Kluyveromyces lactis: one gene and its partners. The protein of the gene in region 1 interacts with the protein of each later gene in a biochemical or structural test. Links are inferred from orthologs where the notes say so. Each region holds a gene or a part of one and is shown in the gene's direction. Other genes may lie near its edges. The genes, in order: KLLA0_A03905g, VAC17, CMD1 and ACT1.

What was found.
Region 2: the proteins of KLLA0_A03905g (region 1) and VAC17 form a complex in vitro, tested with the Saccharomyces cerevisiae proteins (3 studies listed by BioGRID). The link is inferred for Kluyveromyces lactis from reciprocal best matches to the Saccharomyces cerevisiae genes MYO2 and VAC17.
Region 3: the proteins of KLLA0_A03905g (region 1) and CMD1 form a complex in vitro, tested with the Saccharomyces cerevisiae proteins (2 studies listed by BioGRID, with this or other methods). The link is inferred for Kluyveromyces lactis from reciprocal best matches to the Saccharomyces cerevisiae genes MYO2 and CMD1.
Region 4: the proteins of KLLA0_A03905g (region 1) and ACT1 form a complex in vitro, tested with the Saccharomyces cerevisiae proteins (3 studies listed by BioGRID). The link is inferred for Kluyveromyces lactis from reciprocal best matches to the Saccharomyces cerevisiae genes MYO2 and ACT1.

Annotation. Positions count from the first base shown.
Region 1 is NC_006037.1:347,632-351,910, reverse strand, and holds the start of KLLA0_A03905g (myosin family protein), read left to right. Parts: upstream 1-1,440; coding exon 1,441-4,279. Other genes in the region: FRT2 (Frt2p), read right to left, coding at 1-671. UniProt on the Saccharomyces cerevisiae protein: Myosin heavy chain that is required for the cell cycle-regulated transport of various organelles and proteins for their segregation.
Region 2 is NC_006039.1:32,756-35,898, forward strand, and holds VAC17 (Vac17p), read left to right. Parts: upstream 1-1,192; coding exon 1,193-2,575; downstream 2,576-3,143. Other genes in the region: L-serine/L-threonine ammonia-lyase CHA1, read right to left, coding at 1-386; chromatin-modulating protein MRC1, read right to left, coding at 2,642-3,143. UniProt on the Saccharomyces cerevisiae protein: Vacuole-specific MYO2 receptor required for vacuole inheritance. Binds simultaneously to MYO2 and to VAC8, a vacuolar membrane protein, forming a transport complex which moves the attached vacuole membrane along actin cables into the bud.
Region 3 is NC_006038.1:824,718-826,962, forward strand, and holds CMD1 (calmodulin), read left to right. Parts: upstream 1-1,233; coding exon 1,234-1,677; downstream 1,678-2,245. Other genes in the region: ALG1 (chitobiosyldiphosphodolichol beta-1,4 mannosyltransferase), read right to left, coding at 1-571; AIM3 (Aim3p), read right to left, coding at 2,150-2,245.
Region 4 is NC_006040.1:460,497-464,202, forward strand, and holds ACT1 (actin), read left to right. Parts: upstream 1-1,229; coding exon 1,230-1,239; intron 1,240-2,019; coding exon 2,020-3,137; downstream 3,138-3,706. Other genes in the region: SND2 (Snd2p), read right to left, coding at 1-475; KLLA0_D05379g (uncharacterized protein), read right to left, coding at 3,704-3,706. UniProt on the Saccharomyces cerevisiae protein: Actins are highly conserved proteins that are involved in various types of cell motility and are ubiquitously expressed in all eukaryotic cells.

The DNA of each region.
Region 1 (4,279 bases):
GAGTTAAATATGGGGAAAAGTTTGTCAGTAAACCCTGATGACAAATAATCAAGCGCTCCAGAAGTATCACCGCAGCTGTTGGCAGATGGGGAATAAAATAAGGTCGGTATTATCTCTCTGTTGCATTTTGCCTTTGAAGCGGTCTCAAGAAACTGTCTTGCCAAAGAGTTGCCCTTAGAAGGTTGTGATTCAAAAGACGATGCTGTTGTGAGGTCGGGCTTCAACTGAGAGAAATTTAACAGTTTCGTGTGCGTTTTCTTAAATGATTGAGTGGAGGAAATTGATATGTTAGAGTATGATTGATTTTTTAGAAGACCCAGACTACTGTTACCGCTCCCCGGTTTACTACTAGCCATATGTCCAGATCTATTGCTAGAATGCTCATCCTGACATTTGAACGAGCCATCTAATAACGCATCACTAAACCTTAAAGAACCACACGTAATATCGTCATGGTAAATGTTTTTATTACTGGCATGATGAGACGGATTGAATTCGGTCAAATCCCCCATCTGAGTCTTAGAATTGATCGAAGCACCAGATTTACGACGTTTCCCATCCCAAGGGACTCGTAGATCTGCGGCATCATTCTTATGAAATACGGACCCGCGGAACAAAGGGTTAACCTGGGATCCAATATGGTTGGTATGTTCACGATGGCTAACCTCCATTAGACTTCGAATTTTTGAGTTTGAGTTTGAGTTTAAAGTTCCTATTCACAAAGTAATCTCCTCAGCAAAAATATTTCAACTCTAAAACCTCATTCCATGAAATATTTTCGTCTTTACTCGCCACGAAATGAAACCAGGCTGCTATCTAATTCTTATTTGATAGCTGCGCCTTATCTCCACCTACCGACTTCCTCTATTCATGTTGGAATAGAAATTGTCTGATGAAGAGACGAACCAGGAACGCTATTACCCGGATAGTGCATGTGATTTACACGTGACTAAAAATCACCCTTTTAAAAGGCTAATTTGAGGCCCCATAAGCAAATATTCGCCCCACCAAGGCGAAAATATCCCTACAAGTTTACCTCACTGCATGCTTATCCGTTGCTGGCGCGCTGACGCGAAAGGTTGAATCCCTGCTATTTGTTTAGTCCACTTAAAAAGCTCTTGGGACAACAGAAGGGAAAAAAAAAAAACAAAAAAAAAGTGGGATCTTTTGAACAACAAATATATATCTTATTTGATTTATATGTGTTTTATTTAGATTCACGAGTTTCAGGAGAAGAGTAGAGCGGAAAATACAGGGAGCGAGGCATCTGACACCGTGTATCCTTGTGACTAGCAGTACGAAGCAATAGGAGACTGTTTTGATTTTAATTGCCGTGTGTCATTGCAGATTCAATTGAGTGCTCGTTGGCTTTTTCTGATTCAATTATTGGTTATTTGATTTGATCTTAGATTTCAGGTTTTAAGCGTTAATCAGCATAGGATGCCGTACGAAGTCGGGACTCGCTGCTGGTATCCCAGCAAAGATCAAGGATGGATCGGTGCTGAAGTTACTAAACATACCTTGCAGGGAGATTCCTATAATTTGGAATTGACTTTGGAGGATGGACAGAAAGTAGAGCTTTTAGTGTCTTCTTTAGATGAAACCAAAGAGCCTAGTTTACCCCTACTTAGGAACCCTCCAATCCTTGAGACTACGGAGGATTTGACGTCATTGTCATATTTGAATGAACCGGCAGTTTTACATGCTATTAAGGCCAGATATGCCCAGTTGAATATCTATACTTATTCAGGGATCGTGCTCATTGCCACAAATCCCTTTGATCGTGTGGATCAACTATATTCTCAGGAGATGATCCAGGCATATGCAGGGAAACTTAGAGGTGAATTGGAACCACATCTTTTTGCTATCGCAGAGGAAGCGTATAGGTTGATGAAGACAACAGATCAGAACCAAACAATCATCGTTTCTGGTGAATCCGGTGCAGGTAAGACTGTTTCGGCTAAATATATTATGAGATATTTCGCTAGTGTGGAAGAAAATAATGAGGAAAACGCACATCATAATTTGGAAATGTCTGAAACTGAAAAGAAGATATTGGCCACTAATCCAATCATGGAAGCATTCGGTAATGCTAAGACTATTAGGAATGACAACTCTTCCAGATTCGGTAAATATTTGGAAATTCTCTTCGATGACGATACTTCAATCATTGGTGCCAGAGTGAGAACATATTTGTTGGAACGTTCTAGGTTGGTTTTCCAACCGAAAACTGAAAGGAATTACCACATTTTCTATCAAATATTATCAGGTTTATCCGACGATGAAAAATCTCAGTTGAAACTTACAGACATACAAGACTACCATTATATGAATCAGGGCGGTGACTCTCATATCGAAGGTGTCGATGACGCCTCTGAATACGGTGATACTGTGGAAGCATTGAGTTTGGTTGGTATCTCAAAGGATACTCAATTCCAGCTGTTTAAAATCTTGGCGGCCCTTCTTCATATTGGTAACATCGAAGTTAAAAAGGTCAGAAATGATGCTTCTTTGTCATCTGATGAACCAAACCTACAAATAGCGGCAGATTTGTTAGGTATAGACGCTTTTGATTTCGCTAAATGGGTAACGAAGAAACAGATCGTTACCAGGTCTGAAAAGATCGTCTCATCCCTACCTTACCACCAAGCCATAGTTTCTCGTGATTCTGTGGCGAAATTCATATATTCAGCATTATTCGATTGGTTAGTGGACAACATAAACACCGTGCTATGTAACCCTGAAGTGGTAAGCGAGATATATACTTTTATCGGTGTCTTGGATATCTATGGTTTTGAACATTTCCAAAAGAATTCTTTCGAACAGTTCTGTATCAATTACGCTAACGAAAAGTTGCAACAAGAGTTCAACCAACATGTTTTCAAACTAGAACAAGAGGAGTACGTAAAGGAACAGATTGAATGGTCGTTTATCGAGTTCAACGATAATCAACCGTGTATTGACTTAATTGAGAACAAAGTTGGTATTTTATCATTATTAGACGAAGAATCAAGATTACCTGCTGGTACGGATGAAGGATGGACGCATAAACTATATGAAACTTTGAATAAACCTCCAACTAATGAAGTATTCTCCAAACCAAGATTCGGCCAAACTCAATTTATTGTTAGCCATTATGCATTGGACGTCACTTATGATGTAGACGGATTTATCGAAAAGAATAGAGATACAGTTTCTGATGGACATCTTGAAGTGTTAAAGGCTTCTAACAACGAAACTTTACTATCTATTTTGGAAACTGTTGACAAAAATGCGGAAAAATTGGCAGAGAAACAAGCCCAAAAGCAAGAAAGTCAAAAGAAACCCGGTCCAGCCTCAAGAAAAATCGTAAGAAAACCAACTCTAGGATCTATGTTTAAACAATCGTTGATCGATCTTATGGAAACTATCAACTCCACTAACGTTCACTACATTCGTTGTATCAAACCTAACGAAGACAAAGAAGCATGGAAGTTTGACAATCTTATGGTTTTGTCACAGCTTAGAGCATGTGGTGTCTTGGAAACAATTAGAATTTCTTGTGCAGGGTTCCCATCGAGGTGGACATACACAGAGTTTGCCCTCAGATACCATATATTAGTACCATCAGAGCTTTGGTCAAATATTTTACTATCGGATCCATCTGAAGAAGATGTAAAGAACTTATGTAAGGAGATCCTGAAACGTACAATGGATGATACTGCAAAGTATCAGGCTGGTAATACAAAAATTTTCTTCAAAGCTGGTATGCTAGCACATTTGGAAAAGCTAAGAACCGATAAGTTATTCTCATCCTCTGTCATGATCCAGAAAAAAATTAAGGGTCTTCACTATCGTAAAACATATCTACGGACTGTCGATGCAATCAAAAGGCTACAGGCAAACGTTAGTGGTAAGATCATAAGATTAAGAACTGAGAACGAATTCAAGAATAATGCAGCTCTATTGATTCAAAGTGCCTATAGAGGTATTTCTGTGAGGGATAACGTTTCCAGTATAATCATCAGCATCATTAGAATTCAATCCATGGCTAGAAAGCAAATTACCTGTAAAGAGTTATTGGAAAGGCGCAGAGGCGATGCCGCTGTTACGATTCAAAAGAGCGTAAGATCTTTCCAACCAAGAAAAAGTTTCCTACATGAGAAGAAGGGCACCGTGGTCATCCAATCTTTCATTAGAAAGCACTATGCTCAAAGAAAGTTAAAACAACTAAAATCGGAAGCCAAATCCGTTAATCACCTACAGGAAGTCAGTTATAAACTTGAAAACAAGGTCATTG
Region 2 (3,143 bases), on another chromosome or scaffold:
ACATCTGCGCCGTAGGAGCGAATCTTTTCTATAATTCTTGGACGTGTTGCATTCGACACAACTACTGTACAGGGAACGTTCAATTCGAGGGACGCAACCGCCGCCGCCAATCCAGCGTTACCGCCAGAGCTAGCAAACACGTGACCGATTTTTTCAGGCGAGGATTTCTTTATTTCTTCTACCTTTGTAGAGATTAAATGTCCGATACCTCTACTTTTGAAACTACCACTCGGCTGTAAAAATTCATACTTCAAAAGCACTTGAGGGCCTTTACTTCTTTTGAATTGATGTTTCAATAACGGTGTTTTGCTGAACAATTGGGCTTTCATTATTAATCTATTAATACTCGTTTGACTATATGAAGTTGGAAAGATATGGACATACATTTAGCTTTCAAGATGAAGAGGTCGAACTGAAGATTGGATTCAGAGATCATCTCAGCACACCCCCCTAAATATATAAGTCCCTGCTATGAAAGATAACCGAGCATTAGATGGTTGCCTTATCTATACGAAGCATTGAGATGCCTGTCATTTCCTTATAATACAGGTACAAAAAAACTGACAAATGCAAATACAAATCCACTACGGAAATATATATCCGGATATTTGGACTATCTTATTTAAGTTTTTCTCTGTTGGTAGAGATGTCTTCTGTGGTCCCCAAAAAATGAGATCTTGAGAGCCCAAAACCCCAGACCTCCAAAATAGGCAAACCACGAAACATTTTTCCAAATTTGTCGGCAGCTCATCTCATTGTTCTCGAGACAAAAAAAATATGAAATCAGAAAACAATACACCATGCCAGATTAGATTTGATGTTCAAGATGGTTAGAAGGTAAGAAGAAATGAGGAACTAGTAACAAGACAAAGAGCGAAATAATGGACATATTCTACTGACTTGAAGATCTCTCCGTTTTTGTTTCAATTTAAATTTCAGACTGGTATAAGCATGTTCTCATTCTCTTAACAGCTCTGAGTAAATAATCATTAGAAGTGTATTTTTTATTATTTTTTTCTTGTCTCTTTTGGACTGTTTTTTTTCCTTTTGACTAAATAGCCATACCCATACACAGTTTATCTGTCTGTTCAGCATAGATACAGCACAACACACCATCTTGTAAGTAAGAGATCTAGTGAGAGGGGGGGTGAAACTGAATTAAGAGTTAGAAGAGTGTTGTTACTCGAAAGGAATGGAAGATATGAGGTACGTAGCCGAGAGGCTAGTTATCCGGTGTAATGAAGCCGTTATGCAACTTGAGCTGTCCATCCAGCGAAAGATGTGTGAGTTTGATCCAAACAATTCTCACTGTTTTATACAGGTACAGGAGTACTATTCATTCCTGGCAAGACTAAGCTCTTTGAAGTTACGTGCTGAGCATGTTCAAGAAAGTCTACGTCACCAAAGGAAAGATCCAAATGATGTCTGTATCGAATATGAGACTTTGGAGAAACTGATCTACGAATTTCAAGATATAACAATGAGTTTAAACGAAGTGGCCAGGGCATATCAAAGTCCTACAAAATCAGCTCGTTCAGGGTCCAGTAAAGAATCATCTGTTATCCCTTTGAAAACCCTGAAGATCATTGAAAGGAACAGGGATTCTTTAATAGGCACTTCTCCAATGAAAAAAAGCCTATCCCAGCTGAAAAAGGAAGAACACAATCAGTCACTACCAGCAAAGAGAAATGTGAGGTTTCAAGAAGATGATTTAGATATTTTGCACCATTTGCATTCTGTAAAAAGAGCCAATTCTTTACCTGGATCACCAATGCCGGATACACTACTGGAATCGCAGATGTTCTCCCGAGAACATAAAACTCTTCGAATGGCGAAATCATATGATGTGGGCTTGAATGGTAGAGCAAAGAAGAATGCGGACTGGGAATTCTTCAAAAACAAAAACCGTTTATCACTGTCAGTTTTTGATGATGTAAATACAGATGCTAGTGATGAAGAAACCGTAATATCGGTATCCCCACCAAATATATCATATTATCTATCCCAAAATGAAGATCAATATCCATCTAAACAGGTAAGGCGCTGTAATTCTCATGAAAGCATTCTTTCTAGGAAAATTCTATCACCTTCAACTCCAGCTAACCTAATAATGAGACCAACGTACCAATCTGTTTGGCAGAAAAAGGCCATCGTCACAAAACCAACAATAAGCTGTAGTACTTCGAATTCAACCGCTTCGCCAACTATCGGGTCACCGCATCTATCAAAAGATATGTTGAGCCAGTTCGTAACAGCTCCACCATCTAAGAAGTATAGAGGATGGTTCAGTTCGTCCAACTCAACCCCATTTGCATCCTCTATTTTTCAAAAGTGGTTTAATTCGGACTCTCTAGTAACGAAAGAAATTGGAAATCCTGATAATTCGTCTCCATCGAGTGGACGACCCATTGTGGAAAATCGACAACGGCATTCAAGCTCTAACAGTTACTCTACATCGATAGTAATAGGACCGAATGGCGCAAAGTTCATCCGTGGGCTAAATGACCCATTAGTAACTTGTACTGTTTCATATAATGAACTTCAAGAGGCATTGAACACTGAATTTAACTTCTGATATAATGATTATACAAATGTAATTTTAAGAGATTTTATAATGAAATTGACATATTAGTTGGATGGGTCAGGTGAAACTATCGGAATTGGAGTCAAACAAGCTAGATGTTGGTTTGCGTACCAACGGTGTGGATTTTCGGCCTTGGGGTGCCTTCAATTTTCTCTTTTTACCCAAGAAAGTGATGGCAGATCGAGAACCAGAGGCTACTCTATAAGATTTAGATATAGTAACAGTTTTGATCCCCGTTTTGAACTTGTCATTAACATCTGAGTTTGACGAAAAAGACTTTACGATGCTGGGCAATTTGAAGTCCAGAGATGTACCATCCACATCATCAAAGAAGGCGGAGTTTCTATTCCTTTGAGGGGAATCGAGAGATTTAATATTGCTTCGCTGTTTCAAAGATTCCAAATCCTCAGTTGCATCATGTGCTGCTTCAGTGACCTCAAATTCATTGATATCATCATCTTTTGCACTTAAAAACGATAATGAACTCTGAACAAACTCTTCTGATATGACAATTTTCTTCTTTCCCATCTCATCTCGAGTATTGCTGAATGATGTGACA
Region 3 (2,245 bases), on another chromosome or scaffold:
AAATCCATTCGATCAAATACGCCAAGAGTACCAACGGATGTAAAAACTGGTCTTTAAATTTCATTTGCAATATAGTGTAACCCAGGTTATGCCAATCGATGATTAATTTTGCCCTTGAAAATGTCTTAACAACAACAGCTATTGGTAAGATAGGAATCGTTGGTGGGTTTTGCAAAAGGATATAATCGACTGCCCTAAGTTTCCAGAACATGGAACAAAGTTGTAATCCTTGTTTTAATGCCTTTACCAGTAACCCTTTTTCAGAACCATATTTCTTCAATCCATGAATTTCAATATTGTCATCATCCAGTATATCGGTTGGAATATCTGAATCAACGTACCCTGATAGCTCTACCTGAAACCCAGCTTTGCTGAAACTTCTTGCATGGTATAAAATCCTTGGTGAATGACCCAAATCACCGAGAACAACTATCAGTATCCTGGTTTTCGTACTTTTACCCTCATAAAACAAATAGGGTTGTACAACGTAAAGCACAAACGGTGTTGCCAAATAAATCGCCAACAACCACCAAAGCCACGTCGGAATGTTATCAAATCCAAAAACAGACATAAGGTATACCTTAAAATTAGTATGAATGCTGCCTTGTAGTTGACAATCCGTACAATAATTCGTGTAAAGATGATGGGAGGATCAATCAGCCGTTTGGCAGAGATCATCAGATAAAACTTAAAAGAGAGACTCGCTGTTTATGGGAAATTTGGTAATGCGTTCTATGTCCGGGTAACCAGATTATCCTGCGAAAAGTTTTCATTTGAACGCAAAATCCCAATCACATCAGGCGAAGGCTGAAAAAAAAGGGGAAACGTAGGACGCCAGAAGCTAATGACACCGTATATCAGTATCTATTAATCGTCCCTTACATTCAACATCAGATAACCGACTTCTCAATTGCTGTGTCGAAGAAAGTAGACGCGTTTGTGTTTCTATATTTACTACCTTTCCCGCTGTTAATACGTAAATAACGTCTTTTTCCCGTATTGACAGTTTAGGTGTTCATTTTTCGATTTGAAATCCAAATTAATTTCGATCCTTTAAACGTCTGTTTGTTTTAATTCTCTACTTGCAGTTAAAGTTTTGGATCTCAACAAAAGAAAACAGTTGTTATTAGGTAACCATAAGGGTCTGTTTATTGTTCCATTCCAGTCCTGGATTACCAGATATTCATTTACCACACACAGATTGCGTATTAGTAGGATCAAAAGGAAAATAAAATGTCGCAGAATTTAACAGAGGAACAAATTGCAGAATTCAAAGAGGCATTTGCCTTGTTCGATAAGGATAATAGCGGCTCCATTTCTGCTAGTGAGTTGGCTACCGTGATGAGATCTTTGGGTCTTTCGCCCAGTGAAGCCGAAGTTGCTGACTTGATGAACGAAATTGATGTTGATGGTAACCATGCCATTGAATTCAGTGAGTTTTTAGCGTTAATGTCCAGACAATTGAAGTGTAACGATTCGGAACAAGAGTTGTTGGAAGCTTTCAAGGTGTTTGATAAGAACGGGGATGGTTTGATCTCTGCTGCAGAGTTGAAACATGTTTTGACGTCGATTGGTGAAAAATTGACCGATGCGGAAGTCGATGAAATGTTGAGAGAAGTTAGCGATGGCTCGGGTGAAATTAACATCAAACAATTTGCTGCCCTTCTATCCAAATAGATCGCTTAATTGCTCTTTCATCGGATGTAATACTCTGGTTCTCCTTTACCTTTCGTTCCTCATTACTTTTTACTTTTCATCTTTCCATCGCTCAAATTACGCACAAGCACAACGTTTCAAGTAAATAGTTGCTGCTACAACGCTCTTACTGCAAATAGCTTTACAAATGCTGTGTAAATCCATTAATATAAAACGATGATCATTCGTACATGTGTATACAGTAGTGGATGTTGAATGCCATCCTGTGAAATAATAGCTTAAATGATAATAAGATGAAATGTAAAACACTAAAAAGAATAATGATAATGCGTGTTCTTTAGTCCCTATCTATAAATAATTATATAATTTGCAGCCGCGTTTTTGAGCCCTTAACGGGACTTCAGTGGTAAGTATGCTGTCTCGGTGTATGACTGTTTATAAAACTCTTTATTTTTTTTTGCGATGCGAGTAAATGCCACTAATGTGTTTAAAGTTATTTGGACTTATGAATATGATCCCTTTCTGCAGGAACTACATGCCTCAAATACTTCCTGAAAGAATTACCTTCTCCAGAATCGTCATCATCGTC
Region 4 (3,706 bases), on another chromosome or scaffold:
CAGCGGGCGTTGTCTCTGCGAGATCCGCCTTTGAAGCTGAGGCACCGGGGAAATACTGTTGCTTCAAGTAGTACAACTTGTAGAAAATAAACGCAGGGCACACTAATACCAAGAACCACCATTTCATCGTGTTGAAGAAAACTGTTCCCAGGTTACAGAACAAGGAAACATACACGATATCTTTCATGTATTCAGTGAGTCCACCAGATTCCAAATCGAACCCTTCATTAACTAGTTTATATTTTCCATGCGCAGCGTTACTGACTTCATATTTTGGTCTACCGGTACGTTCGAGAATATATAAACATAACAACATCGGCACATTGAAAAGAATAGGTTTTAGGGTTGAAATCAGCCCATTACTGAACCATTTCCTCAATAACGTTAAAGATAGTATAGCGACGACTAGTACGTGCAACTGCTTTAAGATGGCTGCGTTCTTTGCAGCAATCTTCTTGGACGATTTTCCAGCCATTCTACAATGGGTGGGTGAGATTCTTCAGAGATAGAGATAGATGTACATAAATGTACTGTCGAATATTAACCTGATCTATTAATACCTTCCCGTTGCTTCAATGATAGTTGATGATGATCCACGTAACATATATTCACGTATAGATTTCAACTGCCGAGTCATTATAATCCGGGTAACGTACATATATGTCACGTGATTTTGAATATACACATTAATATACGGAGGATTAAGACGATATGCGGTCATAATGAATTGTAAAATAAACCAGATGTACTAACATCCAGAGATCGATAACTGCCTCATGAATACAATATACTACGATATAACTATTCTACCGACAGCCTACCAACGTTATATCAAACTTCCAGCCTTCACAAAGCCTTCAATTGCAAGTCCGCCCCTCCAGCTGTACAGTGAATCCCACGTAACCACTAGAAAACCATTACCGCAACTGCTCCGCCTCGTGGACAATGACAATCGTCTCCTATTTTTCATCAGAATTCTTTTTTTTTTTTTAATTTGTTTTTTCGAAATTTTCTCTTCTGTTTCTCTGGACAGCTAGTGCGATTTATTGTATGAGAGAGTTTGAAATTTGATTTAATTTACAAGAAAAATAAGAAATATCTTGATTTGTTTCCTCCTTCTTTACTGTCTTTTACGATCCAAAGAGAAGAAAGGTTGTTTCAGAATAACGGTTTTTTTGTTGATTGCAAAAGGAATTGTACAACATCTTCACGCGCTATAGTATAACAATATGGATTCTGGTATGTGTGGAAACGTATATTTGATTACGGTGGGTTAATTGGGTGGTTAAAAAGTTTGGATATGTTTTATTACTTTGTTAGGTTTCCGGTTAAATGTTGGGAGGGAAAAGATAGGATAATGGCAGCGCTTTGCGCTGCCATTGTCCATTCTCTAACTCCCTAAATCAGATTTAGAATTAGATGTACAACGCTAATTGAATGGGTTTTTTTTATATATAGGGGTTTGGATTAGAAGCTTTGTTCGAGAATTGGATCTTTCATTTCCTGGTTCTACCTTCTTACTATAACGTGTTTTTCTTGGGTTTTGGGTGACTAACTTTGGATTTTGGGTTTTTTTTACCTGATTTAGGAGGCGAATTGGAAAGAAATTTGGAAAATATAGGCAAAAAAAGATAATTTGATGTCACGTGATGATGTGATTTTATATTACAATGTTATTCCTTCCAGTCCAAGAAGGAATCAAAGTACACCTTTAAGTGGTGCAGGCATTGCCCCTCGTGGTTCGGTTGTCCCTATTTTTTTTTTGATTTATTTTTCTGGTTGCTAAGGTTAGCCCCTATTTTGTCCGCGACAGGACTTTTAGCGTTGAACAATCACATAACCTCATGATCACCCAAAATGCACCTGTTACTTTTGTTTTCTTATCTTATGTTACTAACAATTATTTTTCTATTTGGGATGGCTGAATTCACTTTTTTGGAACACCTAACCTACCCAAACGTACGGTTTAGTTCCTTAATCTGCATTCTGCTACTCGTGATGGTTTTTTATTCTAAACAGAGGTCGCTGCTTTAGTTATTGACAACGGTTCTGGTATGTGTAAAGCCGGTTTCGCCGGTGACGACGCTCCAAGAGCCGTCTTCCCATCCATCGTCGGTAGACCAAGACACCAAGGTATCATGGTCGGTATGGGTCAAAAAGACTCTTACGTTGGTGACGAAGCTCAATCCAAGAGAGGTATCTTGACTCTACGTTACCCAATTGAACACGGTATCGTTACCAACTGGGATGATATGGAAAAGATCTGGCATCACACCTTCTACAACGAATTGAGAGTTGCTCCAGAAGAACACCCAGTTTTGTTAACCGAAGCTCCAATGAACCCAAAGAACAACAGAGAAAAGATGACTCAAATCTTGTTCGAAACTTTCAACGTTCCAGCCTTCTACGTCTCTATCCAAGCTGTTTTGTCCTTGTACTCTTCTGGTAGAACCACTGGTATTGTGTTGGATTCTGGTGACGGTGTTACCCACGTTGTTCCAATCTACGCCGGTTTCTCCTTGCCTCACGCTATCTTGAGAATCGACTTGGCTGGTAGAGATATCACCGACTACTTGATGAAGATCTTGGCTGAACGTGGTTACTCTTTCTCTACTACCGCTGAAAGAGAAATCGTCCGTGACATCAAGGAAAAGCTATGTTACGTCGCTTTGGACTTCGAACAAGAAATGCAAACTGCTTCTCAATCATCCGCTGTTGAAAAGTCTTACGAATTACCAGATGGCCAAGTTATCACTATCGGTAACGAAAGATTCAGAGCTCCAGAAGCTTTGTTCCATCCATCTGTTCTAAGTTTGGAAGCTGCTGGTATCGACCAAACTACTTACAACTCCATCATGAAGTGTGATGTTGATGTCAGAAAGGAATTGTACGGTAACATCGTCATGTCCGGTGGTACCACCATGTTCCCAGGTATTGCTGAAAGAATGCAAAAGGAAATTACCGCCTTGGCTCCTTCTTCTATGAAGGTCAAGATCATCGCTCCTCCAGAAAGAAAGTACTCTGTCTGGATCGGTGGTTCTATTTTGGCCTCTTTGACCACTTTCCAACAAATGTGGATCTCAAAGCAAGAATACGACGAATCTGGTCCATCCATCGTTCACTTGAAGTGTTTCTAATCTCCTTCACTTTTTTTTACTTGACACTCTTATAAAAAGAATACAATTAAAATAAACGATGAATCGATTCATATAGATGAACCCAAAAATTGAAGCTTATGAAACAAAAAACTAACAATTATTAAAACTTCATATAGGGACGATTTTACTCCAAATCTTCTTTGTTTTTATAATTTTGTTTTGTGTGTTGTTTTTATTTATCTTCGATCGCACAGTCATTATTCAAGTTCCAATCTTCTATCTTATGTTGTTGGAATATTCTACTTCATATAAATGAAGTGGGTAGTTTAGTATGAAAGTTAATAAGTTAATAAGCCGAGATTATATACGAACGAAATTCAAATTCAACATTAAAATTAAACAACTCCAATTGAAAGTTATATACGGCAATTATTGAATATTCGTGCGAGGCTAATTGCTTAAGTTGATCATCTGATAATTTGAAAAGGATTTAAAATCATCATATGTTCCAGAACAAAGATTTTTAGTGTTGAAAGTTATTCTTAGTTTATGAAATAGTAAATTATTTAATATGTACAATAGATAAACAAGACTAAACTAATAATTCA